Lonchura striata: one gene and its partners. The protein of the gene in region 1 purifies or fractionates together with the protein of each later gene. This does not show direct contact. Links are inferred from orthologs where the notes say so. Each region holds a gene or a part of one and is shown on either strand. Other genes may lie near its edges.

Region 1 (7,277 bases):
CAGAACACAGAACTTTTGACCACGATGCTGCCAAGAATGCCTTAGAAATAATCTCCCCTCTTTAGTTCGTATCTTTCAAATGGTTATCTCATAATAGTATTCTGCTATTTTAGTTTGGAAAATTTGAAAATTGAGGAGTGTTGTTTGTTTTGTCCTCTTAGCATTTAGATTTCTTAGAAGTAATGCTTTGAATGGTGCTCAGTTCTTTTGATGAAGTAGGTACTCCTAATTGGAGTTTTAAACTGTATGAATCCTGTTCTCTATTGATATGAATATTCAGATCTTGTTTAATTGTTATTATAACCAATTTAATTTTTTTATTTTTAGAATCCTAAAATTCTTCTGTTAGATGAAGCAACAAGGTAAGAAGAAAAGAAATAGAAACTTAGAAATTATGTACCTGTAAAACTCAGATTTGGGAACTCGCTCTCTTTCTTTCTCTCTCTCCATATCATTATACATTATTTAGATTTATGCAAAGCAGAAAGGATAGCTGGTGCATTGTGATTTTTCATTGAGTTAAATTCATACTGTGTAACATGATTTTGAAACATCTACTTAAGGCTTTTTTGGCTCTGTAGTTTAAGTTTAGATCCTAGTGTAAAACAACTAGGCTTATTGTGCAGTGTAACTGATTTTTTTTTCCACTGATTTTCTTTGGTGTTATTTTCCAATGCTTATTTTTGCATTTGAGAATACGTCATGACTGTAACTTAGATGTGAGCACTGAGCATGTTCATGAAACTTTCCTGCAGTTTCAGTGGTTCATCATCACCACAAATAGAGAGGGTTTGCAGTTTTGGCAAAATAAGCCTCATGCGTACAAAACCAACCTGCCTTACAATAACAAATATCCTCCTCTCCTCTCTCCCATCCCCTCCCATTTGTTACTAGTGCTTTGGATGCTGAAAATGAGTATCTAGTGCAAGAGGCTCTGGACCGGCTGATGGAAGGGAGGACAGTCCTAATTATTGCTCATCGTCTGTCTACTATTCAAAATGCAGATTCCGTTGCAGTCCTTGGCCAGGGTAAAATTCTTGAATGTGGGAAACATGAGGAACTACTTGCAAATCCAAATGGACTTTTCAGGAAACTGATGCAGAAACAAGCTTTTCTTCAGAATAATGATACTTTTGCATTAGATTTACAATCCAGAGAAAAGGATATATTAAAAGAAAACGTATGAGACAATGTATGAATAATTACAAACTTCAAAGACTATAACTTATGTTTCAGTTATGTAAATGTTATATTTTTCCAAAATGTACAAAATATTATTTTGAAACTTAAATGTGTTTAAACTTTTTATTGAAAGCTTTTTAGTAACTATTGTAACTTTTAAAAATGTCTGTCACACTGAGATCATTTCAGGGCATAGATTTTTCTGCTTGTGTTACTTTGAAACTGTCTAGAATCTTGTTTGCTGTAATGCATTGTATGAAGATGTGCTCCATTCTCAAGTAAATTCAGTATTTTAAAGGTAATTAAATTACAGTCTTATCATTTTCATATAATTGTCTCTCTCTTTCCAAGGAACTTTCATGTTTTGTGCTTGTCATGAGTCTTAAAATGATGGAATTCAAAAATGCATGACACAAACGCACTGTGAAAGTTCTGTCGGACTTCCACTGCGCTGTCCTTCCAGATACCATTTGTTCTGCAATGTGATTATGTGTTCTGAAGTTGACTGTGATCCCCATCTACAGTTCCTGTAGAGAATTACATATGAAAAGGGTATGAAAGCACAAGTTGGAGGAAAGTTCTTTAATAAAACAAACCACCCAATGGAAAAAAAGGCAAACAAACAAAAAAACTTTCTTTACAAAAGGACAAAGGAAATTGTTTTTAACAATTGTTAACAAATTACCACATGAAGTCACATAGGAAAATCTAAAATTTTCATGCATTTTCTTCCGTTTTCTATTTTCTCATTTCTTTAGTTTCACTTTCTCTCTAAGATGGCATCCAAAAGAACATGCCCTCCCATATATGTTTTTGTCCTTTTTAAGGCATATATAAGTTTTGTATTGTTAATTAAAATTTCAGTGATAGAAATCATGAGTTTTGCCTAATTACTTTATTAGAAACAACTAGTAAACAACATTTTCAAGGACAACTAGTAAAATAGCAGCATTACATTAATTTGAATAACTGCAGGGGGATATGTTTGAGAGTGAAGAGTTTGCTTCATGTTTCTGATTGAAGAGTCTTTCAATAGAATTTCTGAAGATGCAAAACCCCACAAGATTTTACAAAGCTAGAAACTTCCCAGGTCACATTAAAACTCATCCATGCTGGAAGACCTGATTCACAATAGCTGAAATACCTAGTGTTGGGCAAGCTTAAAATGTTCGTCCCATGAGTGGCACCTTGTGGAATACAGTGAAACTATTAGAGAATGAAAATAAAATTACATCCAGATGTGATTGTATCTTCAGATAAAATTTTCCTAGAAGCATATGTTGTACTAAAGTTATGCAAAAAATACTCCCGACCCAATGTTTAATTTCATTGTTGACTATTAATGTATTTAGAGGGGTTTGCAGCTTTAATCCTCACTCATGTGATTTCTCCTTATTTGAGATCCAATGAGCCCATTTATTCCTGTATTTACACAGGTTACAGGAATTCCTTCCAGCTGAACTGAATGAGTGTTTCATGTCTTTTGTTCATTAGTTGTCCTGGCAGGTAGTGCAGCTGACAGAGAAGTGTGAAAAGCTACACAAAAGCTCTAGTCCACGAAAAGGTAAATGTATGTCATAACAGTTACATTGTTTAGAAGACTTTTTTGGATATTTATGGGACAGTCAAGAAGTGGTTAAGTCTCTAACTGGTATCCGTACAAACTATTTTTGTGCAGAAAATTAGATTTGAATGTTGAATTGTATCTTGTAAAGATGGAGCTCTTGCAGGGCTGAGACAGCCAAAGGAAGCCGACTAATTCCCTGAGGAAGTGTAGCTGCGTATAGATAGGGTTCAATCAGCAAAACATAATTCTCATGCTGCATCGTTTCAAATATTTTAGGAACAAGCTGTGAAAAGGAGCCTTCAGTTTTTCAAATAATTTGAATGTCACCATTTGGGTTCAGTCATAGAGGACCATAATCCACATAGAAAGTCTAACAGCCCTGAATCTATTATCAAAAACCATGGTTTTGAAAAGTTATGCAATTTTTAAAAATATTCTATTTTTAGTTAATTTTATCTTAACTGATTTGCTTTGTTAATACTATACATTCAACTCAACTTCTTCCCCAAGTGTGGTACATACTTACCTTCTGAAAGCTTTTTAATGCTAACTGATGCCATTGAGCATTTAGTTCCCCTTGAAGGCTAAAATCTATTTTTATACCACAGAATAGCTGTCGTGCATGGTTGTTATTTAGCGTAGATGTGAAACGTGCCAAGGTCTGTATGGAAAATGGTTTTCTGTATTTATTTATTTACTTAATTAGAAATGTGGGGACAAACACAGGTATGCACAGGCTATTTTAAAGATAAGGCTGGAAAATACGTCTTTCCAAATAGTCTTTGAACAGCTGCTTTTTGGTCATATTCAGATGGTTAGTGCAAGCTAATCGCGTGAACTCGGCGGGGAATGGTACCCAAGCCCACCCTTGTGAATGCTCTGGGAGCGCCCCGAAGAACGGAGCTTCAGGGCCGGTGAGTGAGGCCCGTGTTTAGCTCGGCTGAGGGCGGGCAGCGCGGGGGAGGAGCCCGGGCCGCCATTCCGCCCTCAGGGCCGGCCCTGCGGCCTCTCGGACCCGCTCGGCCCCGATCGGCTCCTGCCGGCCGCGCTCGGCCCCGCTCGGCTCCTGCTCGGCCCCGCTCGGCGCCTGCCGGCCGCGCTCGGCTCCGCTCGGCTCCGCTCGGCTCCTGCTCGGCCCCGCTCGGCGCCTGCCGGCCGCGCTCGGCCCCGCTCGGCGCCTGCCGGCCCCGCTCGGCTCCTGCTCGGCCCCGCTCGGCGCCTGCCGGCCGCGCTCGGCCCCGCTCGGCGCCTGCTCGGCCCCGCTCGGCTCCTGCTCGGTGCCGCTCGGCGCCTGCCGGCCGCGCTCGGCCCCGCTCAGCTCCTGCTCGGCCCCGCTCGGCTCCTGCTCGGCCCCGCTAGGCGCCTGCCGGCCGCGCTCGGCCCCGCTCGGCGCCTGCCGGCCGCGCTCGGCCGCGCTCGGCCGCGCTCGGCGCCTCTCGGCCGCGCTCGGCTGCCGGCTGTTCCCGCGCGGCCCCGCCCCGCGGTGACGCGCTCCGCGGGCGCCCGGCGGCAGCGCGGTGCCGGTGCCGCTCCCGCACCCACAGCCATGTTCCCGTCGGCTCCCGCCTCCCCGCGCACCCCGGGCGGCTCGGCCCGCAGGACCCTGGGCAGCGCCGCGCCCAGCCCTCTCTCCCGGCCGAGCGGCAAGAAGGGCCTGCCCGTGGTGGCGGCAGCCGCCTCCCCGGTGCTGTTCTCGCCGGTGGCGCGGAAGAGCGGCTCCCTCTCGGCGCGGTGAGTCTGCCCCTCGCCTCAGACCCGGCCTCGCTGTTAGCTGCTCGAGCCAGCCTGGGTTATATCACAGTACTGTACATTAAAGCTGCACATACACGGTGCTCCGTGTCCAGCGGTGTGAATACCTCATACTAGGTTTTAAATGCGCGAGTTCCTCAAATATACCCCCGTGTGATACAATTATGAGATATGAAAATTATAAGAACTTCTGTGTTTAAAAATAAGCTAAAATAGTAAAGTTCAGGCATTTCACACCCGCGTCTCTCCCCAGCTTCTTCCCCCGTCTTCTCCCTGAGGTACAGCATGAGCCCCAGACCAGTTTCAGGCTTCATAATTTCTTCTCTCAGGAGAAGATACTTGTCGTACAGTTAAGATAAAGAGGATTGCCAGTGTTCAGTTTTGGAGAACTTTTACTTTAAGTCTGCATAATAATTTTTTCAGGGTGCCAGGAATGTCTACTAGCTATATATCAACTTCTGCCATTTCACACAGGGAGGTGTGAGGCATCAATTCACTTGTGAGGAGACATAAAAAGAGGGCATTAACTTGTAAAAGCAGATAAATTTGCCCACCTCACTGTGTCCAGAGGACAACACAGACCTGTGCTGTTCCAGAGTCAGAAGGTGGAGAAAGATACAATGAAGCTTTTATAAATGGTAGTCAGTGCAGTCTCCGCAGCAAGCTAAGGGTGGTAGAAGTGCTGTTGGGTCCAAGCTGCCATGGCTGTTCAAAGTGTTGCACAGCGTGTGCTGCCCAGCAGTGCCAGAGCTAGGGATGGAACTAGTCCTTGCAGTCAGGGAAGAGCTTCTGCTGAGCTTCTTCTGATATTGTGAATGTCTTCATTCTGTAGATAACCAGAGTGTAGAGAGGTTGAACGGTGAGTTTGTTGCTGGTGGAGTAATGCGTATTCAAAGTCAGTTCTTTAAAAATGAAGAATTTGATGACAGCTAGGAACTTGTAAGGAAGCCACCAAATTTTTGCTTTAGGTGGTGTTCCCAGAGAAAGCATGTTTATTTTACATAAATCTGTTTCTAAATAGATACTTGTGAAGTAAATGTCTGCTGAAACTGATGAATAAGCAATAAAAAGTTGACTGTAACTTTTTGTTTTGTTTAAGAGCGACTCCTACCAGAATTATCCAGCTTCCTACAGCAACTGAGACTATTAACTATGATGTTAAGGCCTTTGGGTCCTCTCTGCCTGTTAAGGTTATGGAAGCCCTGAAGAAGGCTGATGGTAAGAATTGATGTTATTTTTCTCCATGAAACTTGACAGGTGAGAGAATTCTTAATGTGTTGTTGATGCCATTGAAATGCTGATTTTATAGGGGAAGCTAAAATGTCTGTGCCTTGCTTTGAATCCAACCTGGTTGTATATGTAACAATAATTATAATAATGCCCATGTGGGTGTGAATGCATGAAAATACCCTTCAGGTGCTGCTTATGCAATTTATTGTATAAAACCAAGGGTACAAGAAAAGCCAATAGTAGGTTTTTGGTAACTTTTACTTACTGGTTCTTCCTTACCTTTTTTACTTGTTTTGATTTTGCTGTGTCCTAGAGTGGATGCTTAATATTTTTCTTTATTTCAATTCCCATTTGTTATCTCTTCCAAAAGCCCTAGTGATACAAACCATTCCCTGAGTTCAAGAAATTGGTCTCCTAAACAGTTTTTTCTCTGTGCATAAGTTTTTCCTTTATAGTAGATATAAGAGGAACCCAATAAATTTCTGAAAAATAATGTTAAAATTGTTGCGCGATTTACAAAGCTCTTAAAATCTGCTCTAAATACAAGGAAATGGGTTTTGGGGTTGTCATTTCGTTCTCAAAGGTTGAGGGTTTATCAAATGGATTTTTAAACAAGATGTAGTAATTTGATATGTTAATCAAATAGATGGACATTCTAACATGGAAACTAATTTAATAGAAAATATTTATTTTCATTTAAGAATGAAAGTTTATTGGTTTAAATGTTGCTCTGCAGTGTTTTAAACATCTGAATGCTTTAAAGAAGTTACTTTTTTATGTAGCTGATGACCAGCTGAGCGTTCAAGTGGATGAAAGTGGATGGGCCTGGCTAGTTCATAAGGAGAGGCTGATTATTTGGAAGATTGGTCAGTCTGCAGTAGCTAAGGTAACTGAAGGGTCAAGATGGAAAGTCTGTATTTTATGCTATTTCAACTGGTAACGCAATTATGGGGTTGGGGTTTTTTTTTCAGTTGGAGTTTGTGTGTTTTTCCTCAAAAGTAGCAGGATTGATATGAAGTCATGTTAACAACAGTAACTGAAACTCAGGCTTTTGAGAGAGCTTATAATTTTTATATTCCTCTCTTCTGTTTTGTCACCTTGGCACTAAGGTTAATTCTTCATATTTTAATGGGTGTAGCTCTTAGGTTAGATAGTCTTGGCAAAGTTTATTTTGATAATTGAAATCTGGTTGATATGTTCAAGTTGCAACAAACCCCAAAAACATGGTTAATTTCGGAGGTTACTGAACATACGTTTCACCTAGATTTCTTAGGTCAAGAATTTTTGTATCCTCTCTGGACAGTATTTCTTTCAGCATCATTTCAGTGATAGTCGGAGAAAAACAAAATCAGAGTTACAAAATCAGTTTTCTTTCAATCAAGACAAGGTATGTTCATTATATAGGTCCTGCACTTACAGAGGAGTGTCAGGTGTACACATTCTGGCACTTGAAGAGATTTCTCAAGGGATTACAATTTTTCTGGTTGTTTAACTTCAAGGGTGTAGGGGAGTGGGGTGTGTTTCCCTTCTCTACCCTGTTAGTAGTTAA
Region 2 (7,425 bases), about 11 Mb from region 1:
CTGTTGGTTCCACTTTCTCTCATCTCCTTAATTATCCCATACTCATTTTACCTTGTTAATTGCTCACTCTTCTCTGGCTCTTTCTCATTTCAATAAATGCAACTATTAATACTCTTATTGTTTACAAGCCACCAACTACTCCATCATTCCCCTCCTCAGCTGGACAGGGGAGAGAAAATGTAATGAAAACTCATGGGTCAAGATAAAGACAGGGAGAGATCATTTACCAGTCACTGTCATGGGAAAAAGACTTGATTCAGCAAAAAGGAACTTAATTTCTTAAACATTATATCAGAGTGAGACAATGAGAAACAAAAGCTAAATATTGAAATGTCTTGCCTCCACCCCTCCCATCTTCCTGGGTTCAACTTCCCTCCTGATTTTCTCTACCTTCTCCCCTTTCTGCAGCGCAGAGGAATGGGGGTTGCAGCCCCATTAAGCATGCATCTCTGCTGCTCCTTCCTCCTCAAGGGAAGGACACTTCACTGTTCCCTTGCCCCAGTGTGGACTCCCCCCCAGAGGAGACAGTTCTTCACAAGCTTCTCCAATGGGAATCCTTCCCATGGGCTGCAGTGCTTCATGAACTGCTTCAGTGTGGGTCCCTTTTCAAGGGGTGCAGTCCTTCAGGAACAGGCTGCTCCAGCATGGGTTCCCTGAGGGATCACAAGTCCTGCCAGCAAACCTGCTCCAGGGTGGGCTCTTCTCTCCATGGTGTCCAAAGGTCCTTCCAGGAGCCTACTCCAGTGTGGGTTTCCCACAGGGTCACAGTCTGCTTTTGGGCATCCATCTGCTCTGGCATGGACCAGAGGGGACTGCAGGGGGATAGCTGCCTCATCATGGTCTTTACCACAGGCTGCAAGCGAATCTCTTCTCCAGTAACAGAAGCATCTCCTCCGCTTCCTTCTGCACTGGCCTTGGTGTCTACAGAGGTGTTCCTCTCACATATTCTCATTCCTCTCTGTGGCTGGAATTGCGCCTTTTCTTGCTTTCTTAAATCTGTTACCCCATACGAGCTACCACCATTGTTATGAGCCTGGCCTTAGCAGACAGCAGGTCTGTCTTGGAGCTTCCAGGTATTGGCTCTGCCAGACACAGGGGAAGCTTCTGGCAGCTTCTCACAGAAGCCACCCTTGAGGTTCCTCCACGACCAAAATCTGGCCACACAAACCCAGTACAAACATGCACCTCTATTCTCTTTTCTTTGTAAACTCGGTGAAAGGCTGGACTCCTCATGAAACCCCTTCTCCCTCATAGGGCACCTGCCCCCACATTCAATCAGCACTGTTTTTGTGGAAGCCTCAAAATTACCTCCTCTTAGGCAGCTCCATCTCTCCCCTATATCTCCCACCACCTGTCAGGCACTTGCCATAAGTTAGCTCTCCCTGAGAGGTTATTCTCTCTGTCATTCAGAGCTCTACCCTCCCCTTTCCCTTCCCTTGCTTGAGGACCATGCCTTTTGGAGACTCCTCTTTATCTTGCTCTCCAGACTCTAGAATAGGTGGTATAAAATTGTGTTCTTGTCCTCTTTCTCTTCTGTTACTTATCTCTATGTAATCCCTACCACAAACATAAAATCAACTCCCTAGCAGCTTAAAAATCCAGTGCTCTATTCAGACAAATCTCTAAAAGAGAGATCAAGCCAACCACAAGTAAAAGGGTACAATATAGATGCCTCTACCTACAATGTCACCTAGGCTGCCATTACAGCTAATCCTGTAGGAGGTATCTAAAGCCAGCCAGGAGAGGCACTCGGGAAAGGGCTGTTTCTTTTCCTCACCTAAAAAGAGAGTCCAGCTGAATGCATTGATGACTGTAACACAGACACCTAAAACTGGGCAAGATGAGTCATAGACCCTTTTTTCCAAATGCATCCTTGCCCATGATGCCTGCTCAGATAAGCCTTGCTGTCACTTGAAGTTCAAGCTTGGCTAAACCAGCCCACTTCATCCCATAGCCCCTCAGCTGCTGTTTAGGCCAATGTTCACATATGCCTATGACAGGGGGGCAGCTTTGGTCCAGACTCCTCCTCGTGTCCTTATTCAGATCATACCCAAACCTTGAAAACATTGTTCCACAAATAATTTCTGACATGAAGCCTTTCTGTCTCCATGCATGGAGCTAAGGCTCTCATCCACTCTGAATTGCCACTTTGAATTGTGCTTACTGCCAAAACACTTGTCCTTCCCTCAGTAAATACAGCCCTTTCCTGCACACAATCACTCTACATGTCTTTGTAAAGGATATAAGTCTAGCTGGTCCTCTGGTGCTGCCATGCCAATCTTTGCATTTTTCCCTTAGCTCCCTACTCTCTGTCACATCAGATGAGAGCTGCTTGTCCTTGCTTTTGAGCTCTTCCATAGCCCACCCCAGATCTGTCTCTCTCACACACAGCCTCTCACATGTAAAAGTCAGCTCTGCCATCAGCCATCAGATGGTGGCCAGGGCCAGGCTTCCTTCTTTGCAGGAAAATCCTGTCTCACCCCAGGACTTGTGCACAGCCTCCCCTAAGGTCAGGGGCTGGGCTGCTCTGTGAAATCCTCTTGCTTGGCATGGTGGGTTCCTTCTCCGTGACCTGTGCTCTTGTATGATAAAAAATTAATAGATCTAAAGTGGCAACAGCAGCACCAAGTCACAAAAAAGATTTGCATAATAATATAATAATGGCAATTCAACATTAAGAGGCATAGCTGTAATCTAGGCATAATGTATGATGGGAAAAATTAAATGCCTTTGCCACCCCTTTGATGATTCTTCTTCTGCTTAGAAGCATTGCAAATTTCGTAGAATCATAGAATGGCTTGGGTTGGAAGGGACTTTAAAGATATCTTGTTCCAATACCCCTGCCATGGGTAGGGATGCCTTCCTCTCGACTATTTGTTTATCAGTATCTGAAAATATTTTTTTTTAGATCAAAGAACACTTTTAACCACATTAAAATATATACACTGAAAGGAGTAGCATTAGACTTACACTTCTGACTTCATATTTACTTTTTCTCCTTTTGGTGACTAACAGTGTAACATTAATTTTTTGTTAATTTGTTGGGATTTTACATACAATTTCTTATTAAAATTAAAAGGAAAACTGCAGCTAAATAGCCTACCCCTTTAAATCCTTTTAAAGGGGTGACCTAATGACTGGCCCTCCAGTACCTGAAGGGCTCCTACAAGAAAGATGGACAGGGACTTTTTACAGGAACATGTTGTGACAGGAGAAGGGGAATGGATCCAAACTAAGAGTGTAGGTTTAGATTAGATAGTAGGAGGAAGTCTTTTACTGTGAGGATGACGATGCCCTGAAAGAGACTGCCCAGAGAAGCTGCTGGAGTGTACAAGGCCAGGCTGAACAGGGCTTTGAGCAGCCTGGTTCAGTGGGACGTGTTCCTGTCCGTGCAGGGGGGCTGCAGTTCCATGACCTTTAAAGTCCCTTCCAACTGTTATAAACGAGAGTTTATTTTAGCCAGATTAAAAAATAAAAATAATTTTATTAACGGTCAAATTCTATCTAGCCAGCCACACAGAAAGGACAGAGCCGAGCCCGGGGTCGACCCTGGGTGTGCAACAAGGAGTCAGCCTCAGCAGAGGTTTTCCCCTATGCCCACACACCTCCATCCTGGCACAGGCGGTTTTTATAGGGAAAATTCTGCCTGAGGCCAAGGTTTTAGCAATCAGTCCTTTCTTCTATTCGGAGTCCATATGTTAATAAGGATTTCTTTTTGGTGATGAGGAGAAAAATTCAATGTTGGGTGTTTACGGAAAGGCTTCATTCACATGGATCTGAGTATTTCCATGATATCCATCTTGGACGATCAGCACAGACGATCAGCACAGACGATCAGCAGACAATGGCCCATCTCCCGGCCGAGCCACATCTGTTTACTTGTAAATCAGTTTCCAGTATACACTCAAGTCTCACCTACAAAAAGGGGGGGGAGGAACTAATACAACGGGCATGATTTAACAAGCATCCAATATTACATATTTCATACAAGGAATGGCGCGAATTATATTTACTATACATAACACAACCCAAACCATTGTGCGATTTAATGAAATCCAGATAGACCGGGGTTGGAGGAAGAGGGACACAGGTAGGGAGGGCCATTTCTCTCTGTGCCGGCGGCTCCCCTCGGCGGGGCAGGAGAGCAGAGCCGTCCCCACCAGGTGCAGCCCGGGGGCCACGAACGGGCTCGGCCGGGCGCCGGTCCTGCCAGCCCACGAACTACAGCTCCCGGCGTGCCCCGCGGAAGACGGCAGACACCGGGGTGGGAGCGGAAGCAGCCGCTGCGCGGCACGCCGGGATCCGTAGTCCGGAGTCTGCCGCCGCAAGCGCCCGGGGCCGTGTCCCGCGCATTTGAAAATTCCCGCGGAGGCTCGCTGCGGATATCGCGAGAATTCGGCCCCCCCGCCCCCCCGCCCGCCCATCCCGTCCCGCCCCCCGCGCGGCGGGTGAGCGAGCGAGGTGGGTGCGCGGCGCGCGGGGCCGGGCCGGGCGAGGCCAGGCCAGGCCAGGCCAGGCCAGGCCAGGCCATTGTCGCCGCTGCGGGAGGGAGATGCCGCCGCCACCGGCACCGGCACGTACCGGGAGTGCGGGCTCGGCTGGGCTGGGGGCAGCGGCGCGGACAGGAGGAGGCGGCGGAGGTGGCGGCACCGGCGACCCCCGCCCGCCCGCCCGTGTGCCTTCGTTCTTCCCTTTCTTCCTTCCCCCCTGTACCAGCGGGTACCGGCCGCTCCCGAGCCTCATAGGCCGACACCGCCGCTGACGCGGGCCCGCGGGGGCCTCGGGCGGGCCCGGCTGCCTGTCCCTTATGTAAGTGACCCCCGGGCTGCGGCGCTGTGTCCGCCACACGTGCCCCGGTCCCCGGCGGCGGGAGAGGCCCGGGCGGCGCGGCCTGGGCAGCGCACATGGGAGGCTCCGCAGCCGGCAGGCTCTGGCAGGCTGGGGGACGTGGGAGATGCGGCGGCTGCCGCCAGTAGCTTTCCCTCCTGCCCGGCGCACGCCCACTGTTCTCGCCCGTTCGGTCGTGTATTTGGAGGGTTTTTCTTTTTTCTAATTCGGCTTCCCCCTCCCCCGCCGGGCGTCGGGGTTGTATTCCATGAGGAGGCGGGAAATGCGCTCTGTGCGTAGAGCGGCGATTGCGGGACGTGAGATGGGTGCAGTGGGGAGGCCACAGCTTTAGAAGAATGCAGTGCAATTTGTGGGGGTCTCGGCGTCTTTGCACGAAGCGAAACATCGCGAAGCAGAGTTGCTGCTTGCTTAAACAAAACTGCTCAGTTCCTTAATAAACTGTGAGTCCGTGTCTGGAGCTTCTGCCAATAGAATGCTTGGTGCCAGTCTTCCAGGTCTTATGATTGCTTCCTGGTCGTGTCTGGGGAAATTGGAGGAAATTGAGGGACTTGTTTGTGTCGGAATGGCTGCACCCCATTTGGGGTATAGGGCTGTGCCTGGCCGTGCAGGTGCCTTTGCAGGGCCAGTCTGGCTGCTTGTGTCAGCCTTGGCTGGCAGCTGTCCCATGCACTTGGGCACACAGCTCTGTATCTTGGTCAGGACAGCTCCTCATTTACATGCTGCCTCAGCTCTCCTTCGTGCATGGATTTGCCTGTGATTGGCTTTTTCAAGAGTGATCAAGCTTCTATTAATTATGCGTCTTCTGCCTAATAAGGTGTCGGACATAGTTTTGGAGAAGCAGTGGTGACAGGCCTTTTCTGGTGTGATGCTGGTTTGCTGGTGTGGAGAGAATAGAATCCTTAAATTGGCAAGTAAGAGTCACCCTGTTGCATGGGTTGCAGGTGTTTCTGTAATTGCTCTTGTCATGTTGCTGGTTGTAAAAACCTGTTGGAGAATTAAATGTTCCACATCCATCTGGATACAGCCTTGGGCAGCCTGCTCTAGGTGATGGCTTGAGCAGGGTGTTTAGAAGAGGTGGTCATGTGTGATTCTGGCAGGTCTTTCTCTTTGATGTGATTCTGGAATTTGTGCTGAGAAGGGCCAGCAGTGGGATGGCATACCAGTGTGGTATGCTGGAAATGTCTTTGAAAATACAGTAGTAGAACAAAGGAACAAATAGGAGATGAGAAATGGCAGCAAGGTCTCTGTTTTGATGTCAGTGATGCCAACATGTCCTGTGAAATCTTGTCTTCAGCTGTGACTGACCATATTTTTAGCATTTTCTTCAGTGAGCCCATAATGTTGTTGGCCTTTTAAATTGATTTTTGTGTAATACCATCAGTCAAAATTGACATCTCAGAACTCTGATTTGGCTGTATGTAGTTCTGCTTGAACACACAATTTCTTTCTTTCTTTTCCCTCCTTCCCTCTCCCCTCTCCCAAGCTTTGTAATCCAAAAATTTATGACATTTCTGTCTTTGGAAATAGTTTGTGGTGTTTGGAAGTTATAAGTTCCTAGGGTGAAAAAGAATACTCATTTTGGCAAATTGCATGCAGACTGCATTGCTGTAGGATACAGCTGGGTGCTTGAATTCTAGTTTATTCCTGAAAATAGAGTAAGCATGTGACATTTTACCCTAATCTGATTTCTAAGAGAAATAAGAATGTGATTGTAGTTATTGTTTCAAAGAGAGCTGAAATGCAGTTGCTGTTGGATATATCTCTTGAAATTGAGAGGCTTTGTGCCTTTAATCTAGATCTAAGGATTTCCCCTCTGTTTTGATTTCTTAGCAGTTCTTGGTTTAACTTAGCAAAATGATGCAAGGAAAGCAGCCTTACAGAGAGGTCAGTATATATTGTTCATAATTTGTTATAAATCAACATTGTTCCATGCCTGATTTCTAAAAGCAAAAAGAGTTGTTTAAACTGGTCATTGCCTTACTGGAGCAAAACTGAGCATGCCTGATGCTCTAGTATTTTCATTTTGTACAAAAATGGTTTAGGTCTTGGAGTTCTACTTACTTGATGTTTCTTACTGGTGTTTGTGGATCGATTTTTTTAATATAGTGGGCAGGAGTACACTGTGTTAACATATGAGCTTTTCATCTGTGAAGAATTCTTTTGGGATGGTGAGGAGTTTGTTTTTTAAACTCAAATCTCCGCAGTAGAGGACGTTTCAATTTGATATCCAATTTAGCCACACAAGGTTCTGTGCTCTTGGCACAGCAGGTAGGGTCGCTCAGGGTGATTCGTGGAGACCACACAGCTGAGAAGTTTCCTTGCATGCTCTTACCTGCCCTACTGAAAGATACTTGTTCACTCCTTTCTTAAAACTATCTTGCTATTATTGTGGTATATGGTATTAATAATCATATACTTACCATACAGACATCTCCATTTTTATTTACAAGAAAAAGAAAACAATTTTATTAACTGCAATAATTCTGGAATTTTATGCTCTTTTCTAAAATTCCTTAATACATGTTGTCAGAGTCGATGCTTTGTCAGGCTGGACAAATAGGCTGACAGGAACCTCAT
Region 3 (7,793 bases), on another chromosome or scaffold:
TCAAATGCTTCTCTATGTCATGTAGATGGAAAAGAAACTTCACAAAAATTACCCCTGTCAATCCCCAGGGATGGATTTTCCAGGTGGGTATCACTCCACACTGGTGCTGTTCCATGTGGGAACACTCTTGAGTCATGACACCAAGGTGGCTGTGTGGTTACACACCCCCCGTTCCTGGTAGGACAAAACTTTCTGCACCATTTCAGAGATGTTCCTTGTCCAGAATAAACTGCTCACACAGTGAAATACTGACTGAAGAGAAACTTCACTTACTGGCAGAGCTGCAGACTTGCTCTGTCAGTTCTGGTCCCTCTGCTCTGCCTTTGTCATGTTACTTCACATTCCAGCTCTCTCCTTCTGAGCACAGATTGGAGTTTTTCTGCCATTTTCTGGAAATTGCAGAAGAGTAATACCCACTGGGTAGAGGAAGCTGAAGCCACACCTTTATCTGAGTCTCAAGTTGAGAAAATGGAACAGCCATGAGGCAGGAGGATGTCCCAGGCTTCCACCTGAGCTTCCACAAAATGTGAGCAGTGGTCTTTGACAATCCCTTGCAGTCCAAACTTTAGCCTGAAATTTCATAGAACCTTTAAGTTTTAGTATTTTACTTCCCCTGAAGAGTCTTAATGAGTCAATTCTGAAAAAATCCCAGGCATGGAAGTGTTCAGTTCAACCTAAGAAGGCAACAGATGCTGCTTCAAATTGTGACTGCAATTCAAACAGATCATCCTTTGAGCTCTGCTTTCCACTCCTACCTGTATCAATTTACTTGATTTATCATCAAAAGATCTATCAGTTGATCCTGCCTGTTTTCTCTGTGTTTAATTACTCATGCTATTATTTTTTTATTTGTTTAAGGTACTGGGAGGTGAGAAGCACCCTGGCTGGGGAAGACCATGCACTTCTGCCCAAATCCCACTTCATGTGTGATGCCTCAGGCTCCTGTAGTCTTCTTTCTCCTTTCATTCCAGCTCTGAAAAGCAATGGGCAACTTGGTTTGGTCATTCTCAAATTGATCATTACTACTAAGAAGTTGTCACTCTACTAGTGAGAACAAGGAAACAAAGCATCTTAATGCCCACCCTTCTATCTATCTCATCCATGGCTTTTTAAAGCAAAACTCCCAACCCAAGGGGTACTTCACAGAGCAAAAGATGAGTTGTGATTCCCAATGGACTTAAGTTCTATTTTTAGAGATGATGCAACATCACAGAGATGTGTGAGGAAGGGCTCAAGGGGTTTGATGGTCCTGTTGTATTTTGTTCTTTTCACTTCTTCCCCCTCCCTCCTTGAAGATCCCTGTGCTGCAGGCCCAGGAGGAGGATTTTTGGGGAGGTGGGATGAAGCTGGCCAAGGCCTGAGCGTGGCATGAAAGAACTGAAGGCAGAAATGACACCAAGTGAGACACACGTTAAGGCAGCATCACAAATAGAACAAATGTGCTAAAAAAGACAGGAAAATACTCTAGGATTTATCAGAACATATGGGAGTTAGATGTGCTCAGAAAGGCTGAAAACAGCTTCAGATGCACCAGCACTGGTCTCACCACCAATCAAACAGATCCCAAATCACAGAGCAGGTTTATACAAACCTCATCTCTGTGTGGCTTTTCTTTTTACATAGCAACAGAGGAAACTCTGAGAAACTGGAGCTGACAATGATCAGTACTAAAACCTGCAAAGGAACAGGCCAGACAGCAGCACTGGGAGAAAGCAGCGGGGGGAGAAGCCACACTGGGAACTACAAAAGCTCCACTCCTGCAGGGTCCGGGCTGCAGCAGAGGGGAGCAAAGCAAAGGTTTTTGTCCCTCTGAGCTCCTCCTCTTCAATGCACCAAGCTGAAGGGAAGTGAATGGAGAAGCATCACAGTGAAAATTCCTGAGAAATTCCATCTTTGGGAGAAAAAAATTCCACGTGTTTTTTTCTTAAAGTATTTCCATACTTTGTTTCACTCTTGTACTGCAGTTTTATAAGGAATAAATCTAGATTTTGCAGAGCTCTTTGGTTTAATTCTCCCCCCTCTGATGAAGAGGGCAGGGAACATGGGCATTCCATATACATGTTCTTCATGCTGGGATTTTAAAATATTAAGTTTTTTGATACCAAAGCAGCTACAGGTAGAAGGTGCATGCTCCTGCACATCAGCAAACATTAGCCTATAAAACCAACTCCAGCCCCTTCAAAACTGAGTGTTACTTTGTACTGAGTCCAATGCAATAACAAAAAGCACTCAGTAATTTGGTGTGAATGAGTGCGTTGGGTTACCAGCTCAGACTCTGCAGGTCTGAGTGCTTTCCTCAGGCTTTGTTCTTCATTAATTCTGGCTTAACCCTGGGAATAGAAAATACCTTTTGCCTATAGCCCTGCCTGTGCTGTGCCTTCCCTGTTCATGATGCTGATCATTCCCTCTGTTCCCCAAATAGCTTCCAAACCTCCTATTTCACAAGGTAGTAACTCCTGTCCTAATCAGATCTTTTTTTCTCTCTTTTTCTCCTGACTGTAAACCACACAATTTCTCTTTGCTTCCCTTGCTGGACCCACAGCCCATACTCCAAAGCCTTTCTGAGCAATGTGAAATTCCATGCTGACATGGAAATTCCCAACTCTACTCAATTATATGGACTGAGAGGCACAGAAGCCTCGAGCAGGAAGGTTTCCTTTCTAGGTATGTGCAGAGCTCCAGCCAGTGTTCAAGAGGACCAAAAATTGTCAAGATTTCATACCAAAACTCACCTTTTCCAAGATGATTTCCACAGGAACCATCCATTTATGAACAACAGATGCTGCGGATATGAAAAGCCACTGACACTTTTAGGGAGAGAGCAAAGTGGACGCTGTGTGCCAAGAGACAGCAGGAGAAGATCAAAGAGTTCCAGCTTTCAGTGTCTCTTCCCACAGATGGACCTGGGAGCAGCAGAGGACACTGTCCCACTCCTAGATCAACCTCCCACACGGTGGATCTCTACACAGTATTACATGGATGTTCTAAATATATTCTGCCACTCACAAGAATCTGCTGCAGTTATAAAAGCAGCACCTTAGCCTTGAGGAACAGTGGCAGGAGGCCTCGTACCCCTGGGTTTTTAGACATCCGGTTTTGAATTGCATATAGAGCCTTTTAGTGATGTGTGGAATGGTATTCTGGATCTAGGAATGCCCACAAACATCCTCAGAAGTCTGCAGCACAGAGCAGCACCATTGTGTAAGACAATAAGGTGAATTTGACTTTGTACAGCAGATTAAAATACAGGCACATCCTCAAATAACAAAACAGAGACCCTTACCCATGATAAACAACGACAGGTTTAAAACTGATGAGTCTTCAGTCTCTCAAGCAGCTTTTGGAATGTTTAATTTGTTCTACCTGCAAAAATTTATTCGTTCTGACCTGAAGAGACACCACTTTCTTTTCTCAGCATGACTGGTTACATGACATGCTCTTCCCAGAGATAACTGCTGGCCTTATTTTTATTGGAAATGATGGATGCAGCAGTTGATAAGTAAAAAAGGGCAATTTAGCCATGGAGTGTTGCACTATTTGTCATACAGGACAGCAAATTATTTACATTATCTTGAAAAGTTTCTTTTTAGTGAGCATTCTGGGAAGGCACCAGCCTAAGAGGGACTGGTTCCAGCTGTGAGACCAACAAAGCTGCACTGCTAATACTTGTCTTAAAAAGTATATTGCTGAAGAACTTGCTTATTGGCTAGCACAGGCAAAAAGTGAGGAGTTCACAGAAGCAGGGAGGAGAGCAGAATGGAAGGAGAGGAGCAGGGTGCTGTGAGTGTTTTATCACACCATGGCATTGAGTTGAATGCCATGGTAGGTGAGCTCCCAGTGTTAACAGAAAGGTGATGAGCCTCCAGCAGCCTCAGAAGGCACCTCTGCCCAGTGTCCAGGGGATATTCCACCTCCTCCTGGACCCTGAGGCAGGGAGTGAGTGAGTGAGTGAAGCACAGTGGCAGTTCTTCCTGCTTTGATCCTGCTTCATTACATGTCCTTCCCGAACCTGCAGGCAACTCTCTGAAGTCAGAGCACATAATTTGATTAGTCAGCTTTATCAATGCCCAAGAGCTCCAGAGAGCATCACCTTCAACATCCCAGAGGCTTCTCAACCTGCACGTGTTTGACATGTATGAGGAAATAGGAGACATGGGTTGTTACACAATGAAGCGTGAAAACACTGACAGTGACTGTGCACTTGGACAGAGATCAGGCAGGATGCGCAGTCTCCCTCACTGGAGATATTCCAGAACTGTCTGGACACAGCGCACTGCCATGCACTCTGAGATGAGCCTGCTGCAGCAGGCAGTTTGGACCCGAGTTTGTGGTCCTTCCAACTTAACCTATTCGGTGAATCTGTGAACGCTGACTGACCAACGACATCACTGCACGGCACACCTGGGGCCAGCAGTGCTCCCAGCCAGCATTGAATCTGTCCTGGCAAGAAAATGAGGAACACCGTGAGGGGCTGGCATCCACCCCAGCCCACCCCATCCCCACAGCCCGCTCGGCGCAGCCCCGGCGCTCAGGCCCGGCGGCCCGGGCGGTGGCGGGGCGGGTCCGTCCGCCTGGCGGGGCCTCGCGCACGGGCGGCGCTTCCGGGGGCAGCGCCGGTGCCTGTCCCGGGCCGCGGGACCCGCGCTCCCTCCCGTCCCGGCGGCGCCCGGGCGGCTCCCCCGGCACAGCGGCCCCCGGCCCGGCGGGGGCTCGCGGCACGCAGGCGGCGGCGCGGGCAGCCCGGGGGGCCTCGGCGGCCCGGCGGGCGGGAACGGCAGCGGCCCGGCGGGCGGGAACGGCAGCAGCGCGGCCGCCGCCATGGACGAGCCGGACGCGGAGCCGCCGCTGGTGGTGCGGGATGGGCCGGGCCGGGGGCTGCGGGGCCGGGGGCTGCGGGGCCGGGGGCTGCGGGGCTGAACGGGGCGCCGCTGACGGACACCGTCCCCCCGCAGGTGGTGCCGGGCGCGGACCCCTCGGCCCGGCAGCTCTGCTTCGCCTGGGGCCCCGCGGAGGTGCTGGTGTGCGAGACGCTCTTCGGCCGCGCAGGTGGGCTCCGCTCCCCGTGCCCATCGCGGTTCTGGGTGAGGGCAGGGCGGGCGCTGCTGCCGGGCGCTGACGGGCTCTGTTGCAGGTACCGGGGATGGAGCACCGAGCTCCTCCTGCGTCTTCGTGGTCCGCAGGGACCAGGACATTTACATCCAGACCCTGCGGAAACTCTTCAACGAGTCGCACGGGATTTTCATGGGGCTGCAGCGGAGCGAGGAGGAGCTGGCGGGGAAGTCGCGGAAGGCGCAGTGAGTGGATGGGGAGATGCGAAGGAGGCAGCCGCTGCCCCTTCTCCAGCCGGGGCCAGCGCCAAGGGCTGACGAACGCCTCAGGTGGGGCAAGTGCCATTGGCCAGGCTGCTTTCACCAGCTCTGGAATCAGCAGCGAGGCAGATAGAATGACTATTTTGGGGATATTTTATAAATCAAGGATCGGATCCTTCCAATAACCATGCTAGTAGAATGTGGTACAGTTTCATTGATTCCAGCTGGATCCACCCAGGTAATGGGAGTTGTTGCTGCAGAGAAACTTGCAGTTATAGGGGGCATAACACTAAAACTCCAACAGCTCCCTCCAATCAAAGTCTTTTTGTGTTTGGCAGATTGGTTCAAGTGAGTAAAAACTACCGGTCAGTGATAAGAGCCTGCATGGAGGACATGCACCAGGCAGCTGGTAAGTTTGTTTGTTCTCTTCCTGCAAGAAAAGGAAACACCAGTTGCAATTACAAAAGTAGGATTGTAATAGTAACTTACTGCAAGTGCTGTACAATAACATGTATAGGTTTCAGTAATTGGCAAGATTCTATTTCCATGTGGGATATTTCCACGTTGGTTTGTGAATCTGGTCATGGACTGGTTTTTTCCCACCATATTGTAACTGATTTTCTGGGGACTTGCAGCCTTTTCGTATCTCATGTGGCAGATATATGGAAAGCTATCAAAGCTCAGAAGCAGCTGGCAAATGTAAATATGTTGCTCTTTGACTTTATTTGCTTTTCCTTCAGTTTCGACCCAGGACCCTGCCCTGCAAGGCCAGTACAGCACTCAGGTAATCTGCAGTCCTGTCAGGTTGAACGTGGATTACTGCCTGGTGAATTCACCAGGCCACCTCTGTGGCACGAGGCACTTCAGATTTAACTCTGTCTTGTATATGAGATGCAGTTCATGACCAAGAATAAATTGAAATAAATAGTTAATTCCTGTGCTTCTGAAACAATAAAGATGCCAAACACCTCAATTCACTGCAATGTTGTAAACATATTTTCTGTTCTAGATGTGATGTTTTCTTGTGATCCCAAAGCTGACAAGAAAAGTTTCAGACTTGCTGTGTGGTGTTTCACCTCTCAAACTCTCAGATTCCAATCAGCAGCATCTGAGCCTCACAGCAACCTCTGGGTGTTGAGGGTGAGCTGTCAGATCCACCAGAGCGTTCTGGGAGGAGCAGAGTGCTCACACCAGCTCTGTCCTATCAGCTGCAGTGGTGTTGCTTCATTGGCTGTTCTTTCTGCCTTTGATGTTTGTATTGAATCTTAAAAGGCTGAAAATAAGACCAGTTATATTGCTCACTGGTGACAGATTATTGTTGCATTTCATTACACAGTGTCAGTGTTCTCTGACCAAAGAGTGTGAAATTGTGGCCTGTGTCTTTTAATTTTTATCTCTGCAATGTCAGTATGATGTTTCTCTGTAAGAACTGATTTCTGTGGACAGCAGATGCCTTTGTGTGGTTAAAAAACCCAGGTGGAATGACTGTTTCTGAAACTTGGCCCTGCTTTCCTTCAGGTTTCCATTCTCTCCGCAATGGAGCTGATCTGGAACCTTTGTGAGATTCTGTTTGTTGAATCAGCTACAGGTGAGCTGTGAACTATGCTGGTGTAAAGACTGATGGGTTTCTTCTTTGCATATTTCTTTGTTTAAAATGTGTATTATATTCCCTGTGTCATAGTTTAATGTTTTAGAGGTATGCAGTGTCAGTAAGCCTTTTAATATCCCTTCTGCCTCAGTTAACTGCCTTCTTTATACTGAATTATACCAAGCTATTCAATTTTCCTTCTACTTTTCTTCCTCGCTCTGATTTAAATTGTTTCTTTGTCAGAAAGGTTATGAAGCAGAGGGATATCAAAAGTTGTTGCCAATCTATTTTATTTATAAGCTTAAACATGTCTTTAAACATCAAATGTGTCGATGCCAGTTGACATTTACACAGCTCTGATATAACTCCTTTAACTTTAGGTTGCCATTTTTGAAGTCAGTCTGTTTACATTGGTCTTTTAAAGTAGGAAATAATTTTTGAAGGAAATCATATTATGCAAATAAATGTGCTACTTACACAGTCCCAGAATTCAGCAGAGACTTGCAAATTATAGATTACTTAAGCTAAATTGGTCACCTAGTACCAAATTTCTTCCACCTATTCAGTTAGTAATAATTATGCTAAAATAAATAGAAATATTCTGTTTGTCTCTTGGCATTGCAAGATTTATGATCTGGATCACTCATTTTTTATTTCTTCAAGTGTGGGTTTTCTACTGGACCGTGTTGCCACAGGAAAACCTGTCAGAGGCTGGGTGCTCCCAGGGCCTCTTTGCATAAGGAGCTCTGTAATTTGGGGGTGGCAGGTAGAAATCCAGTCAGTAAATCTCATCTAGTGATGTCAAACTGTTATAAAATGTGCGAGAGCAGTTTGGGAACAAAGAGGTGGGAACTGACAGAGGGAAATCTGCCTGCACAGCTGGGCCCCTCCTGCTG
Region 4 (7,891 bases), on another chromosome or scaffold:
CTGGAGAGAAGTCCAAGGAAGTTAACGTATCACCCACAGACATCATGAAGGGACAGGAGCACCTCACATATGAGGAAAGGCTGAGAAAGCTGTGGCTGTTTATTCTGGAGAAAAGAATGCCCAGGGAAGATCTCAAAGCATACAAATATCTGAAGGGAGGATGCAAAGAGGATGAAGGCAGGAGCCTTCCTAAGGTGCCCAGTGGCAGGAGCAGGGGCAATGGGCAAAAACTGAAACACACACAGAAGGTTCCCTCTGAACATCGGGAAACACCTTTTTACTCTGAGGATGCCTGAGTACTGGCACACATTGTCCAGGGAGGCTATGGAGTCTCCAACCTCAGAGACAACTTGAAAGACACCTGTACAGGTGCCTTTGAGGGAGGCTGGATAAGATGACCTCCAGAGTTCCCTTCCAACTTCAACCCTTCTGTGATTCTGTGAAAAATTAATCATGCTGAAGGACAGCCAAGACAATCTCACTTAGTAGCATCATTACAACATGTTACAAGCAGCACATCACATGAAATTGCTACAAAGTTAGTCAGGAGTATCTCATTACCAAAAGGGAGACAGAACAGTTTAAGGGAGTAACACTGTAAAACTCCACTTTTTTCTTCATTTGCCAACTTGGAAACAGGACAATTTGGGAAATCATTTCAAGAAATAAAGATACTAAACAGAACATAATATTCTCCAGTCGGCATCCAAATGCACTTGCGGAAGCACAGAACAGAAATAAACCAAACATTTTGTATATTTCTGCTTTTATATAAAATCAGAAATATACAAAAACAAATTTCTAAAGGGAAGATAATTTCTAAAATCAACAAAGAAGCAGTTTCTCTTCCAGTATCAAAGTTCTCATTCTAGAAAAGATTTCCAACACATTTAAGTCTGACAATTTAAACTCATAGATTCTGGAAAAATAATTGTTTTATACACTTCAGTTTCCCATCCCACTAGCTAAAACAGCCATAGTCTGAAAATGACAGGTGATTATCTGACCAAAAACTCATCTTCTACCCCTGATGATCCACAGGTACAAACAGTCAACTTAAAGCAATTACCCTCAGCTGAACTTCATCTTGAAAACTTTTCTTATTATTTCAAACCCTGAGGAAGAATCTTCTTGAAAATGTTTCTAGATTTTTAGATCTATACTAATCAATCTAGGTGAAAGGTATTTACTTCTATTCAGAGACCTTATGCCACATGGCTACAACCCAAAGTATTTTCAGAGGGATTCAGACCACAGATTTGCTTTTTTTTTTCTTTCATCCCTACTGTTGGATCAGGGATTATCACACTTTTTTCTATCCTTATTATGGTGAAATTTAAGATTAACAGATTATGAAGCTTTTAAACTTTCCTAGAGTTCTCCTAAAAGCTTTGTTATTTTTCATTTCCACTGTGGATACAGGTACCAATTAAAACACCAAATCCATTAAAACTGTCCAAACTCCTAAATGAAGAGAAGTGTATTTTGGTTATTTGTGATAGGTTGGATGTGTTGGGTTTATCCCAATACAGCCTGTTAATGAATTATTTTTATTGCAGTAATTGACTTTACTAAAATAGATTTCCATTCTACAGGTGCTAACAATTCAAATTATTGTATTTAAATCAGAAACCTAACAAGTGACATGTCTACAAATGTAATACTCTGCATCTTAGTTTGAAGTTTCAGTACTGAACAAAATAAACCAGACAGATTCTGTTTTAAGACTGTGAACTTGAAAATGGATACCATCTGAAGAAATTGTGCTTCAGAGGCAGCACATGCAAGTCCTAAAATAATTTTAATCCACATATACAAACCAAGGTTTGTCTTGTTAGACCAACTAGAAAAAACAAATCAGGTTTTTGAAAACTTGTTCTTTCTTCAGATCTGAAGAAGCTAAACATTTCAAAATTAAATTAGTTGAAAATAACTGCTATAATTTTTGTTAGACCATTTCTGAAAGAAGAGATATTTATGGAAGAGAGGAATATTATCTGGAAGAGGAAAAAAAGGATAAAGTAGAATAAACTAATTACCTCTAGTGGAAGAAAAAACTTATTGCAAGGAAAACAGGGAGCAATGAACCATAACCTTTTCATGTCTGTAAATTTTGGCATACAGCGGAACAACATATTTTAGTTCCCAGAGCTGGCTTTGGAAAACTGTTTGCAGTTTTCCCTTGAGAATCACAACGAACATGACAAACAGCTGTCACCTCCATATGTAGTTTTGCATTAATGTCTTTTATCAGTTTTCCAAGAGTTACTTTTGATGCATGCTGATGTTCTCATTTCAGCTTGCATAGGTATTGTGAGGACACCAGGCTCCTGGCTGGAATATATTACATTCCAAAAAGTACCAATGTAGTATCTTGGCATTCTTGTACCCTTACTGTAACATATCTAACAGTGGGGGATGACTTAACCAGTTTTATACTTAATGCTTAGCAAGAGATATTCCTAGTCTGCGTATTTTAGACTACAAAATCTTTTTCTGATGCACAAACTGAAGGTTTTCTGTTTGTTTGGATTTTTTAATTGGCTTACGGATTTCACTTTGATGTGGTTCTGCTGTTTCTGGTATGTTTGTTGATTTGGTACATTTGTTTTGGTTTTCTTACACTAAAGCTTTGTACTACATGTTTGACTTACTATGCAACACTTGAGTAAGTCTTCCAAAACCAGTCAGTATTGTTTTGATCAATAATTAGGTTAGTAAACCTAAAAAAGTATCTTAAACTATTAAAACAAGTATTGTGATAGCTCTCCTTAGATGAGAGGCAAAGGCCTGATTGTATATTGCAACTGTTTCTGGTATGTTTCAGACATCCTCCACCTCTGACGAGCCATAGGCTACTTTCAGAGACACTTTAGGGTTATTCCTCCTTTTCAACATTTGACAGACACTTCATGTGCACACACAAAGAAAGCCGTAAAATTCCTCCTGGTACTGGCTACACACTCACAACTTACAGGTACACATAGGTCTCCACCTGACCAATGTCAGGAAAAGCAGCAGCCAAGAACGGTCTGTGGCAAGTACAACTTGCACAAACTATACCAAATCAGTTTTGTAATCATGTTCGTCACATGCCATTCAGAAATCTTCTTGGGAGCACTCAGAAAAACAATGCACCCCAAATGCCATAGTTCTCTTACCCTGATCTATAGCACAAAAGAAACATTGGATGGAAATAAACAGAAGTGACACAGTCAGTAGAAATACACTATTGTTTAAAGGCTGGAGCTCAAATATACACATAAAAGCACTTCCATCCTCCCATCTGTCTTGCAGGTCCTTTTTGTAAACCCCACTTCAATAGTGCTCTTAAATATTCATTTTCTTGCCTTGCTGCATCTGGCCCTCAGACATACCTTGTTTTAACAAACAGGAAGGAAACAACAACAAAGTAAATTCAGGTTGGTGCTTAAGCACAAAGTGCAGCCAGGGAACCAAGTCTGAGGTGTGCCAAGTACCAAGAACACTAACCTGTTTATTGACTTCAGCCATGGACAGTTGTAACGCCATCAACATGCAGTCTGCTCCACATACAGTAGTTCTTTCAGAGTTGGAAAATAAAGGCCATTGTCTTCTGAAACACTTGATCAAGTGTAAAATTTTTTGCTGAAAAGTAACCATTGTCCAGACTAGACAATAGATATAATCAAGTGAAAAACAATTATGGCCAGAGACATATGCAGGTCTTCACCTCCCAAAAAGCTGTGCAAATCCTGTTGTATCTTCTTAAAGACCAAGTTCCTAGAATAAACTCCTCCAGCTAAACCAGACTTGCCTCACTATGACAGAGCAAGTCTGAAAGTAAGGGGTGTAAGTATGTCACACCTTTAAAGTCCTTATTTTCTTTGCATATCATGCCAACATAAAGGAATGCTATCACAGATATCACAGTATTTGTCTCCAAAAGCAGCCTCAGTGCATCTTCAGAACTTTCTGCATTCACTATACATTCAGGTGAGTGTCTATGAGGACGTTTTAATCCTGGAAAAAGAGATGTTTAATATTTCTAAGAGTTACTAACACAGACAACTCTAAACACTTTTGTTACCGATACGGTCTTTTCCCTTTTTTTTTTTTTAAGTTTGATTTTTTTACTTCCATAAGGCATTATCTTCTCTGGCGATAATTGGGCTACTTCATGCTTTGGTCTCTCTCACCTTCTTGCATTTGTCAAGACAAGGTACATGACAATGTGGTACAAACTTGCCTTTAAACTTGTTCTTTTCTGAAACAAAGTTCCCTAACACCGCCAGGACAGTACAGGAGCAATACCTATCCCATTTACCTCCAGAAAACAAAACTCAACCTTCGACCTTTTCCCATACAGCCGAAGCAGAGACCACAGCGGGTTCGGTTTTCGGTTGCTGGCACGACTGCAAAAAACGAGGAAGTGTGGGCAAGGGGCAGGGAGGAAACGGGCACGACTGCAGCAGCAACTTCTCACTGTCCAAAACGTGTGGGCAAGGGGCAGGGAGGAAACAGGCACGACTGCAGCAGCAACTTCTCACTGTCCAAAACGTTTGAAGGGGACAACGTCGCATGGGGGGGGGTCACAGCGGATGAAACACGCGCGCTGCAAGTCAGCGCTGGGCAGAGTAAAAGCTCTCCGGAGGCTTCTCTTTCTCCCCACCCTACGAGCTTTCCAGGGGACCATACCTGTCGCTCCCAGCGAAACAGCCCGAACAACCCCTGCGGAGCCGCCCCTAACACCCAGAAGCCGGGATCGGCATCACCATCGCGGGCGCCGCGGTGCCCCGAGCGCGGTGCCGGCGCTGCCGCTGCGGCGGGGCCGGGCCGGGGCCGCGCCGCGTTCAAATCCGCCGCGCGGCCCAATGGGCGCGGGGCCGCTGCCCCGGAAGCAGCCGCGCCGCTGCCGCCGCCCGCGGCCGGCGCTGCTGGGAACGGCCGGGCCCGGCGGGAGCGGCGGCCGGCGTGCCGAGGTGCGTGTGAAGCGGGGCTGGGCCACCCCCGGCCCGGGGAGCTCGGGCAGCCTGGCTGGGGAGCAGCAGCTGGGCCCCGAAGGGAAAAGGAGGGAGGGCAAAGGATGCGCGTGGATGGGGGAGGTGACGCGCACCCACGCGGTCTGGTTGCCTTAGTCGTGCTTTCTAAAGAAATGAAGGTAATCTTACTCTTGGTGTTTTCAAGCTGGTCTGGCAGCCCATAATTCAGGCTGAGAAAGTTGGGGTTGTTCAGCCTGGAGAGGAGGAACTTGAGTGGAGATCTCAAAGCACCTTCCAGCATCTCAAGTGGCTCTACAGGAAAGAGGAGAGGGACTGTAGAGATAGGGCGAGAAGCAATGGTTACTTTCTTTGGTTGAGAGAGGGGAAACTTCAGTTACATTTGGGGAAGGCATACTTTACGGTGAGAATGGTTAGCCACTGTCCCAATCCTGGCAGTGTTCAAGTGCTGGATGAGGCATTAACAGCCTTGTCTAGTGGAAGGTATCCCTGCCCAAGGCAGCGGGGTTTAGGACTACATGATATTAAAGGTCTGTTCTAAACCCTTAACACTCTAAGATTTTATAAAGGCTTGTGTTCATGGGAAGCCTTGAAGGAAAAAAACTTTTGATAGGATTAAAATTTGCATTTGGCTTTAGTAGCAAAGCTATGCAAGTTATATGGCTAAAGTATTTATGGTAATATAGTGGACTGTTGTATGAATTAATACACAAACACATAACTACGGAGAGCCTCTCTGTGTTTGAGTGATGCCTCTGTCAGACCTGGCTGGCTCCCAAGCTAAACATTCGGGCTTGAATGCTGAGACCTTCAGGTCATTTACACACCAAAATCTGTCAAAGGTCTGAGATTTCAAGCTGATTTTCCACGTGGTGTGTAGTTAAAGGTCTGATTTCCCAAAAAGACATAAGCTTATCTCAAATCTGTACTGGGACTACAAGGAATTGATTCTGAAATCAACTGTGTGTCTTGGCCTCTTGTGTTCTAGTACAGAAACCTGATTTTCATGAAAACTGGTTGAATGTGCGACAGAGTTTTCATTTACAGTTTTGCAACCTTGGTTAACTCAGTTTTTCGTTAGACTCACAGTCCATAAAGAGGTAGACAAGTAAAGAGAATTTGAAGGTAGTGATGTGTTGTTTCTTTTCATTTGGTTGAAAATGTTAAAATGCTGTTCGCGACTCTTCTGGAGTATGTGCAGTTACTTGGTTTTTTGTATTGGTGTTGGGTTGCCAAGGGTAGTACAAGATCTGCAGTTATTGCTGAAGTCAGAAAGAGACAGTTTTGAATGTATGTTAGTTTAGTAAATATTTTGATTTCTGAAACAAACAGGCTACATCTAATAAACTTAAGTGCAGCTTTTGTGTTCTTGAACATGTTACAGAAATTTTTATTTACTCTGCCACAAATACTTTGCGGTTTTTATTCATGCAATGAGTCATCTATGCTTTTTTAAATTTTTGTGTAGGAATGTGGATTTTTGTCCTGAAGAAGACACAGTTTCCGTGATACCTTGACTTAGTTCACTGAAAATGAAGCAAGATTCTACTAGAAACATTTCTTACACTGTGGATTGCGAGGATTATGTGCACGTGGTAAAATTCAATCCATTTGACAGTGGAGATCCATGTTCCCTCATTGCTTATGGTGGCAACAATTATGTGGTTGTTGGGACTTGCAGATTTCAGGTTAGTCTGTATTATACTGTTGTTTTTGTTCGATGCCCCTGAAACTGACTTTGCCAGCACCTCTACTGCAGAAAGACTGGTCACTTTCCTGTTTCCTGTTTCCTCCTCTTGCTGGGGTAAACAAGGGAGAATTTTACTTGTTTAATACACTAACAAGTCTAGGATACTTGTTTTTCAGGAAAATAGAAATATATATATATATATATATATATATATATATATGTATGTAAAATACACACTGATATATCTGCACTAATTTTATAGATATTTCTTTCTGGGGATGAACTGTAGAAATACTTACCTAATTTTTTTTTTCTCACAGTTGTTTTTACTGGATCTCCCTTACAGACTGTAACAGTCTGTAAAGTAAAACATCTTACCTTTAAGTTATTTACAGTTATATTGTGAAAAATTTTTAAATGGAAAATACTGAGTATTGAATATATTTATACTGGATAAAATGTTTTTCATTAGATGAGTTTTTTGCCTAGATGCTTGACAATCAATTGAAGACAATTGCTTGGAATTTCGAAGCTTTTTTCCTTCATCTTGCTTCTTTATTACACAATATTATTTTTGTAATTTGTCTATTATGATTAATAGTGTAGCTGATATCTTTATTATTATTATTATTATTATTATTATTATTATTCCCCATGGTCTTACTGTTGTAAATTTTCTGAAGAGCTAACCACAAAAACATACTGATATTTGTGTTCCTCTCTACCTTGTTTCTGATGTAGGCCTTGGAAAGGAAGTAATTCAAATTTTATAACCACTGACACAAGGTGTTTTTTCTATAATTTTCATATCCTCCCCTTCCACATGTGGAGTCAATGACCATGTCACAGTAGGAGAGAAAAATGTTGTTCTTTCTTCCTGTTGAGAAGCATTGAAAAACTGTGGGTAATTTCATGCATCCTCAGCTGGGTTCTGCTTGGCCTCTACATTATGTAGAGGGCATACAGAGAGGTTCTTTATCTTAAAACAGAATTATGACATAGAGAAAATTGTGTAGGAATATCTTTTGAGGTGCTCCATTGGATGTACTGAAAACTTTTAAAAGCGTTTTAGAGGTCAACTTATTGATGGAGTCCATAATCCCAACTCCTGTTTTATTTTTCCTGTTATCTGGTGTTCATATCAATGGTAAGAATAAGCAAGCTTGTAATTAGGATTAGATGACAGAGAGTACCTTTTTGTCTTCTGCTGTTTCAAGAGCAA

What was found.
Region 2: the proteins of NUP133 (region 1) and protein ELYS purify together in Homo sapiens (affinity purification with western blotting; 3 studies listed by BioGRID, with this or other methods). This does not show direct contact. The link is inferred for Lonchura striata from reciprocal best matches to the Homo sapiens genes NUP133 and AHCTF1.
Region 3: the proteins of NUP133 (region 1) and NUP85 purify together in Homo sapiens (affinity purification with mass spectrometry; 5 studies listed by BioGRID and IntAct, with this or other methods). This does not show direct contact. The link is inferred for Lonchura striata from reciprocal best matches to the Homo sapiens genes NUP133 and NUP85.
Region 4: the proteins of NUP133 (region 1) and NUP37 purify together in Homo sapiens (affinity purification with mass spectrometry; 4 studies listed by BioGRID and IntAct, with this or other methods). This does not show direct contact. The link is inferred for Lonchura striata from reciprocal best matches to the Homo sapiens genes NUP133 and NUP37.

The regions. Positions count from the first base shown.
Region 1 is NC_134605.1:43,277,514-43,284,790, forward strand, and holds the start of NUP133 (nuclear pore complex protein Nup133), read left to right. Parts: upstream 1-4,276; 5' UTR 4,277-4,295; coding exon 4,296-4,480; intron 4,481-5,597; coding exon 5,598-5,716; intron 5,717-6,510; coding exon 6,511-6,614; intron 6,615-7,277. Other genes in the region: ABCB10 (ATP-binding cassette sub-family B member 10, mitochondrial), read left to right, coding at 328-362, 895-1,186. UniProt on the Homo sapiens protein: Involved in poly(A)+ RNA transport. Involved in nephrogenesis.
Region 2 is NC_134605.1:32,730,916-32,738,340, reverse strand, and holds the start of protein ELYS, read left to right. Parts: upstream 1-4,419; 5' UTR 4,420-4,461; intron 4,462-4,702; exon of another isoform or gene 4,703-4,809; intron 4,810-5,662; exon of another isoform or gene 5,663-5,759; intron 5,760-7,425. UniProt on the Homo sapiens protein: Required for the assembly of a functional nuclear pore complex (NPC) on the surface of chromosomes as nuclei form at the end of mitosis. May initiate NPC assembly by binding to chromatin and recruiting the Nup107-160 subcomplex of the NPC.
Region 3 is NC_134621.1:5,353,833-5,361,625, reverse strand, and holds the start of NUP85 (nuclear pore complex protein Nup85), read left to right. Parts: upstream 1-4,783; 5' UTR 4,784-4,818; coding exon 4,819-4,851; intron 4,852-4,952; coding exon 4,953-5,046; intron 5,047-5,131; coding exon 5,132-5,294; intron 5,295-5,647; coding exon 5,648-5,718; intron 5,719-6,049; coding exon 6,050-6,093; intron 6,094-6,827; coding exon 6,828-6,897; intron 6,898-7,776; coding exon 7,777-7,793. UniProt on the Homo sapiens protein: Essential component of the nuclear pore complex (NPC) that seems to be required for NPC assembly and maintenance. As part of the NPC Nup107-160 subcomplex plays a role in RNA export and in tethering NUP96/Nup98 and NUP153 to the nucleus.
Region 4 is NC_134607.1:19,258,093-19,265,983, reverse strand, and holds the start of NUP37 (nucleoporin Nup37), read left to right. Parts: upstream 1-4,889; 5' UTR 4,890-4,961; intron 4,962-4,997; exon of another isoform or gene 4,998-5,140; intron 5,141-6,447; 5' UTR 6,448-6,511; coding exon 6,512-6,667; intron 6,668-7,891. Other genes in the region: PARPBP (PCNA-interacting partner), read right to left, coding at 3,493-3,642. UniProt on the Homo sapiens protein: Component of the Nup107-160 subcomplex of the nuclear pore complex (NPC). The Nup107-160 subcomplex is required for the assembly of a functional NPC.